Alligator mississippiensis: one gene and its partner. Each later gene encodes a partner of the first gene's protein in a complex. Links are inferred from orthologs where the notes say so. Each region holds a gene or a part of one and is shown on either strand. Other genes may lie near its edges.

What was found.
Region 2: the proteins of ZDHHC9 (region 1) and GOLGA7 are in contact, whole or in part, in a cryo-EM structure (PDB 8HF3), measured with the Homo sapiens proteins. The link is inferred for Alligator mississippiensis from reciprocal best matches to the Homo sapiens genes ZDHHC9 and GOLGA7. Residues at the interface, in NP_001008223.1 of Homo sapiens: Phe78, Ala81, Arg85, Ile94, Pro95, Leu98, Asp100, Glu101, Phe104, Ile105, Phe129, Gln130, Ile131, Asn132, Ile146, Pro149, Pro150, Arg182, Tyr183, Leu186, Tyr274, Lys281, Cys284, Glu285, Leu287, Cys288, Gly289, Pro290, Leu291, Pro292; in NP_001002296.1 of Homo sapiens: Lys11, Phe13, Gln15, Tyr18, Ser19, Ser20, Gly21, Thr22, Ala57, Glu58, Leu60, Ser64, Tyr65, Gly68, Cys72, Ala75, Tyr76, Thr77, Phe79, Leu80, Tyr86, Glu87, Leu90, Ile116, Arg118, Gly119, Arg121, Val122.

Annotation. Positions count from the first base shown.
Region 1 is NC_081831.1:39,919,425-39,923,169, reverse strand, and holds the start of ZDHHC9 (palmitoyltransferase ZDHHC9), read left to right. Parts: upstream 1-1,145; 5' UTR 1,146-1,235; intron 1,236-2,109; 5' UTR 2,110-2,217; coding exon 2,218-2,384; intron 2,385-3,745. UniProt on the Homo sapiens protein: Palmitoyltransferase that catalyzes the addition of palmitate onto various protein substrates, such as ADRB2, GSDMD, HRAS, NRAS and CGAS. The ZDHHC9-GOLGA7 complex is a palmitoyltransferase specific for HRAS and NRAS.
Region 2 is NC_081830.1:17,408,247-17,411,991, forward strand, and holds the start of GOLGA7 (golgin subfamily A member 7), read right to left. Parts: upstream 2,884-3,745; 5' UTR 2,758-2,883; coding exon 2,647-2,757; intron 937-2,646; coding exon 784-936; intron 1-783. UniProt on the Homo sapiens protein: May be involved in protein transport from Golgi to cell surface. The ZDHHC9-GOLGA7 complex is a palmitoyltransferase specific for HRAS and NRAS.

The sequences.
Region 1 (3,745 bases):
TCAGGGCGCTAAGGGGATATCAAGTACACATTTTATGCTGTAAGAAATGGATATAGTACCCAAGTAGAGTGCACTCCTTAGCATGCCTGAGACCAAGCTGAAGTGCCTGTGTATTTGACTGCATGCTGTGGTGAGTGGAAAGAGAAAGCGCCTGGCCTTTTCAGCTGCTCTCAGAATGTGCAAAGAGAACCTTGATGGGAGTGCGGGAGGTTGTACCGCACAACACAACATTTTGATTACAGGATGTTGCTCCAAGCCACATTTTGACTAAATTTATGAGAAAGATGCCCTCTGTCCCATGCTTTGTTCAAGGCCTCAAACTGTACAATTAGCTGGCATTGCCAGAACCAGAAATTAAGCTTGTGCCTCAAAACATTGAATTAAGCTTCCATTTTACACCCTTTGTCCAGGATCTACCATACTGTTGGGCTTGGCTAGGTCGTGGACAAGTGTTGTCACCATGTCATCTTGAGTACAGGGAGCCTGGTGTACCCTAGCCTGGCATGACTCTGACCCTGGCTCACTAGGACAGCACCTCAGCCTTAGGCAGAGGGGCATGCGCTGCTCCAAGCACCATGAGGATCCTGCTTGCCCTTCTGTGGCCTCTGGGCGTGTGTTGACCTGGTGGGGTTAGACATGGCAGGCGAGGGCTGGGTCGGGTGCAAACGTGCGCGCGGGCTCTGACACGCGCCCAGCTGACATGAAGGCGGCAGAAGGGACTGGGCCTGCAGGGGCTCCTTGGAAGCGGTCAGGTCATCCTCTAGGCAGGGAGACCCTTCCCATGGGGCGGAGAGGACGTGTCCCCCAGAAAACGATGACGCTGCGTGTGGGCTGGGGGCTGCAGCCTCTCTCCGGGCAGCCTTCGGGGGAGCAAGAGGAGAGAAACCCCCTTTCCCCACCCAGAGCCGCTAAGGCAAAGCCTGCGACCGGGGGCGGGGCGGGGCGGGGCGAGCAGAGCAGTTGGAGGAAGACCCGGGCCGGGCCCCGGACGTAGGCTCCCTCCGGCCCCGCCCTCTGGGCGGCTGCGAGCCTGGGGCGCGGGAGTGACAGGCCCCTTAGCCAATAGACTGCGCCAAAAGGCTCCTGGGCGGAGCCTCGTCCCGGCCGGACCAATGGGAACTGCTACCCCTCCTTCCTCAGCCATGCGGGGCGGGGCGCTCCCAGTTCCCACCCGCAGCCCAGCGGCGGCGAGCGGCCCGCCCGGCCTCGCCCGGGGCAGAGGCAGGCACCGACAGGTAAGAGGCCGGGCTGGGCCGGGCCGGGTCGGGCCGCGCCGCGAGTCGGGACCGGGGCCGGGCAGCGCCGTGTGCTGGAGTGCGGCGGGCCCGGCCCGGCCCGGCCCGGCCTGGGGCGGCGGGCATTGTCCTTGGCACGTGCGGCCGCCGCCGTGGGGGTGGGTCCTGGTCCGTGCCGCGCTGCGCTCGGGGCCTTTGTGCGCCCCCCGGGCCGGTCGGGGCGCGGGAGGCGGGAGCGGAGCCTCCCCGGCCGCCCTTTGTGCAAGGCCCGCGGCTCCTCGCGCTCGGCGCGGCGCCTGGCTCGGGACGCGCCTCCTGCCCAGGCCGCTCGGAGCCCGGACTCGGGGCGGGTGGGCTGCTGCGCTCCACTGCTGGCTCCCGAGGGGGAGCGGTGAGATGCAGGCTCTTCCCTTGCCGGTGTCGCGGCTTCTGGAGGCTGAGCCCGGGCCCCGACCCCACGCCAGGGCCGGCAGAGAGCGGGGCTGAGGCACGGGCAGCCCCTCCGGCCGGAACTCCACTCACAGGCTTCCTGTGTGACCCTTCTCCAGCAGCTTCACTCCCGTGTGACTTGCTTCCCCTCAGCCACGCTGAGGCCAGTGCAGCCCTGCCCTGGGAGTTGCAGGCTGTGGCCCCTGAGTCCTGAGCTTGAACGAGGCACTAGCATGGGGCAACAGTGGGGTGCCAGGAATACTCCCATGCAGGCAAGCAGTCCCAGACTGCCTGCTTTCCCCCTCTGTGCGTCTTGTGTATGGGGGAGCTGGAACGGAGCTGGTGGGAAGGAGGGAGCACCATTTGTCATCAGCTTGGAGAGTTCCCTCAGTTGACACATTCAAGGGGGTTATCAGACCACGCTGATGCATTCTTGTCTTCCCAGTTTCTTTAGCAAATGATGCCTGGACTCTGAGGATGCTGTGTGTACCAACAAGTTTGGAGCAGAGCCTGGACGTTGCTTGGTTGCCTGCCTCCCTGTGAATGTGCGACCATGTCTGTGATGGTGGCAAGGAGGAAAGTGATTCGGAAATGGGAAAAGCTGCCGGGCAGGAACACCTTCTGTTGCGACGGTCGCATCATGATGGCCCGGCAGAAAGGCATCTTCTACTTGACACTCTTCCTCATTCTTGGCACTTGTGCCCTCTTCTTTGCTTTTGAGTGAGTTCATAGCAGGCTGAGATCCCTGCTCGTGCAGGCGTCTGTGGGGCTAAAGTCACTGTCATAGGTTGATAGTGAGAGCGTGAATTTGACCACTATTGCTGGGTCATGTTGGCTGGGATTTGAATTAAGGGATAAAGAAAACATTTGCTGCTGACCTATGACGCTCTTACCAGTTGGGTGCAGTGCACCAGCTTCAGTTTTGTAAGTGCTTGAGCTCCTAGGGCACTGGTGGAGCCAAGTTAATTTTATTCTTTTAAGAAAGCCCCCTTCAGAGATTCTCAGCCTGTGGCATGACATTGGTAGAAAGGAAAAGCAGATGGGGCATGAGATTTTGTGTCTTGGGGTTGGCTTCAGTAGGCATCCTACAGCACCTCATTAGTATAAGATATCTTTCTACGGAGGCTCAAGTTGTGCTGTTTCAACTATTTTTAAAATGACTTTGGTTACATTGGCATAACTTGTACAGACGACCTTGTTTCCTCGTTATTGCAACTTTCTCTTCATGTGGCATATGTGGGAACAGAAGACAGAGTAGAGTTGCATCTTATAGACTAAATCAGAGATGCATAAGCTTTCATAAGCAACCGCTTGCTTCAGGAGTGTCTTGAACGTAATTGGTGATGGTAGTAAGGCTCCTTGAATATACTTGGGGCCTATTGCATTATGGAGCTCCTGCCACTTCAGCTGTGCTGGCATAGCCATATTGGCAGAGCCCCTAGAGGAGACATGGTATAAGTTGACAGAAGAGTTTTTGCTACTGTGCTTCCTGGCAGTAGAGCCTGCGAGTCCTTTGCTTGGCCCTTGCAAGTCCTCAGTTGAATTGCCTGTTCTGTATAATCGGACTGTATAGTTCTGATTAAGTCAATGTTTTTTTCCTTCCTCCAAAAAACAATAAAAATCACAGTCAACTTATTGTTCCAGTTATATTTCAGTCTCACATAAATTGACTGTCATTTTTATTGTTGTGTTTGAGGGGGGTGGGAATTGGTCAACTTGAAATGGAATCAGTATGGAAGGCGCAGACCAGACCTTCAGTTAATGACTAACCTTTACTCCATTCGTGTTGTCACATGGTTTGTATCTGGGGGTGGAGACTTAAGAGAAAAGAGTTTCTTTTGTGAATGGCCTATACGCTGTCTCCAGATGATTACAATTTTGCACATTCCTTGGTATTTGTTTACAGCTGATTCCTTAGGGGCACAGACTCTGCTGAGTTTTACCTTGCTTCCCCAAGGGCACTTGCATTGACTGTCCTGAATGATTCCCTGGGTAATATGACAGGTTGTATAAATGTCTCTGAGATCCAGAACCAAGGCAGACACTAAAGAGAAGTGGGAGACTTTGAATGCTGTACTGTG
Region 2 (3,745 bases), on another chromosome or scaffold:
ACAGACTACATGTGTTCTGTGACTAGGGATCCAATACAGCCCCTGCACTGGCCTTGACTGAGTGACTTTTTGTACTAGAATCAGTGGAATGAAGCTTCCCAGGTCTTGCCCATACTGAACACTATTCTTTCAGGCTAGTAAGAACCCCTCCCAACTTCTCAGCTCAGGAAGCTTTTTCTGTCCAAAGTCTTTGGTTTCTTATCTCTGAATTGGGCACATCTCCACTTTCTTCAAAGAATAAATGGAAGCAAGCCAGACAGATATCCAGCTCAGATCCCATTTGCATCTCCGCCAAGCCCCCAGGAAGGGAAACTGGAGATGCCCTCTCCCTCACCTCAGTCCATTACGAGGATCACAAAATGACTGCATGACTGATTCCCCATAAAGAATTCCTGCAAATCACCCAGCCTGTACAAGGGACACCATAGGCCAGGTATATTTAATCAAACATAAGTTTTCATGAGTGAACTGTCAGGTGAGAGTTTCAGTGTGACACTGTGTATTTAGATAAAAAGTGAGTAAAATGGAAAAATGATCACAGCATGAAATCCGCCCTTTATGTGGAGAGTCAAACAGAATCTATTTCATACGTAACAGTTGAGCAAGAGGGGAGCAGATCTGACACACAAGGAATTTCAGGAAGTCGGTCTGGCATGAGAGTTTATTTCGGCTTTGTACTAGAGACTTCACTGTGCTACTCATCACTGTAAATGAAGTAAGTCTTCAATTAATGTAGTGTTGAGTGTTGTCTTTCAGGTCATAAAGCAAATCAAACTGGCTTACCTTTTCATAATGTGTCTCCATGCACAAGAAGATAGTGTAGGCAGTCAGGCAGGCCAGACAACCTTCGAGATAAGATTGGCCCCCAAGTTTCTCGGCTTCTGCATACAGGTTATTCAGAGTTCGCACAGTCTCTTCAAACTGCTGCCGATCGATCTGCAGAAAAGTCCAAGTTCAGCAAGCATGCTCAGCAAGTGAGCTCCACTGACCTCCTGTACAGACATCCACCTCACTTTTACCTTTTACAGCTGTAACCTACACTGCCACTGAGAGACCGTTTGCTTCAAACAGGCACCGTGGAGAGAGCCACAGCTCCGTTTAGTATAAAACGGCCTCCAAAAACGGCAGCTCTTGTTCAATTTTCAGCTAAGCAATTACATCAAGAATGAATTCTACCACAACTGAAATGCTGTGCCCGCAAGCGAGCACAGATAAGAATTGGGGTCTGATGTGAAAAGAACAGATCAGAGGGAAACAGACTCGGGATTTAAACCACTATTCAATGAAAGAGCATATAGGCAAATCTCTATCTGAATAAGGCCTCAAGTATGGGGGATTGTTGCTCCAGTGCCAATCAAGCTTGTGAGTGATATAAACAAAGATGTATCAGATTTGATGTGAAAGAGAAGGCAAACGTAGCCTAAGTGATATTTGCCAACAACAAGAAATGCACAAAATATTTGACCAGGAGGAGTTACTCCACTAGTTGAAGGAAGTGTTGCAAATAACAAAACCCCGCACATTGATAGAAAATATAAGAGGGTGTTTGTGATGCTGCTGAAGCGCAGGCTCAACAGAACGGCCTTGTCAGAGGATGGGTTTCTATACAACAATACATGCCTTATTTCTCAGTGCCCCGGCTGCCCTTTGTGTTGTGACAAGGGCACAGATCAGAGAGAGAATCAAAACAGAAGGGTTTCATAATTGTTGGAAGTTAGACTTGTAGGCACATTTGTATGTCTAGATTTCTACATCACATTCAAAGTTCGGTATTTTCTAATTACTGTTTGCATAGGCAAGAAGCAAGAGTGTGGAGGGCATTTCTACTTCCCTGCCCACAGGAACCTACCCTTTATTTAACTACAAAATGTCCCTTTCAGCTAAAATCCCAAAGATCAGTTTAGGTCAATTTGAAGACAACTAATCATTTTGCAGACTTTTGTCCCCCAGGAAAGCAATGCTACCCAGCATGTAGAGGGAACAAGACTACTCGCCTTGCTCACTCAAAACAACAGCGTCAAGTAAACACAGGAGGACAGCCATCTGCTCTGGGCCATTTAGACAGGGACTATTTCATCTCGCTGCTGTCAGACAAACCGAGCCTCCCAAGCCACTTGTGTCAAAGCAGCGTGGCGTGACCTCGCACGCTCCGACACACCCGTGTCCCCAGACACTGTAGGTGCCCGGGGTGCAGGACACAGCCCTTAGCTCATACCGCAGGAGCTTTAACACCCGGGCTCTCGGCAGGCATTCGTGCCACCCTGGCGCGAGCATAGAAACGCTAAGAGCGGGGACCTCGGGGGCGACTGGAGCCGGAGGCTGAGGGTCAATCTGGCGGCTTTCGTCATGCTTTGTAACAGGGGCACTCCCACACGGCCGTGGCTTTAATTATATGTCTTTAATAAGCAGGTGCTTGGCACGAACCACTCATTCGTGAAACATGCTGTTTTCCAGGAGGAGCGAGCAGGAAGCGACAAGCAACTCGGCGGTGTCCTCCAACCTGCGACACGCACACCACTACCATTACTGTGTATGACCAACTTGGCAATTACTTTACGTGACCCAAACGTGCCGGGGGGACTTAAGGCGGTCCTATTTTAAGCCGCCATAACAGCTCCCGGGTGACAGCCCCCGGGCCGGCCTTACCCGCGTCTCCAGCTCGGCTGGGAACTTGGTCTGGAACTGGCAGCGGGTGCCGCTGCTGTAGTCGCGCTGCACGAACACCTTCCCCGACACGGGCGCCGGCTGCGGCCTCATAGCGCGGGCCTACGGGCACGGGCCGTCCGCCTGTCGCCGCCACCCCCGCGGGCCCGATCCCGGTCCCGGTCCCCGAGCCCTCCCTGCACGGGCCAAGCTTGCCCAGCCGCTGTCGCGCCGCGCGCAGCCTCACTTACGGCTGTCGCAAACGCGCCGTCACCCACCCGGGGGTGCGCATGCGTCAGTGGGGCGGGGCGGGGCGGTGGTGTGGGTGGTGCGTGCGCAGGCTTGTGGGCGCTGCCACGTGTGCGAGGCTTTGAGCCCGTCTCCTCGAGCGCCCGTCGGTTGTGGGTGCAGCATCTGCAACCCCCACAAGCCCCTCTCAGGGACTCTCAGCTTTGCTTCCTCAGGACCTCCAGATAAATGGTTCGGTTTGGATAGCCCGGTTCTGGCTCTCTCGCTTACCATGAGCAGCATACAGAAAAATACTTGTTTTACATATTTTTCGGGGTACGGTACTTTCCCCCCCCAGCAAATTACAATCATTTTTTGAGCTTTCAATGCAATCGTTTGGTATTTAAGATCTGGCCAAGCTAGGCTGGGCAGTGCAGCTGCAAGAGTGGGCCCGTGCATGGCGGCCCCCTCATGGCCCGCTTCTGTCGCACACAATGTGTTGTGGTGCAGGGTAGCAGGAGCGTGGTGACCCCCCCTTGGCACAGCACAAGGGACACAGGGGTGCGGGACTCCCCAGCAGCTGCTCCGCCGCCTCTGTCAAGCTGTGGGCAAACTGCCCAGCATCCCGGCTTGAGGCACACGGTGCTCCTGTTGCACAGGCGTGTTCTGCGCTGTTGCAGCAGGGGATGAGCAAGCACAGCTTGCAGTGCCTTCGCCTCCCCCAGCTCTGTCGCTGTCCACACGCACTGCTTTGGGGCACCACGCTGCACCCCGGTGTCCTCTGCTGCCCCACTTAATCCTGTGCCCAGAGAAGTGGGGGTTGAATATGTCACACAGTAAGGCACTGGCACCCTGACCCCAGGAAGGAGGCATC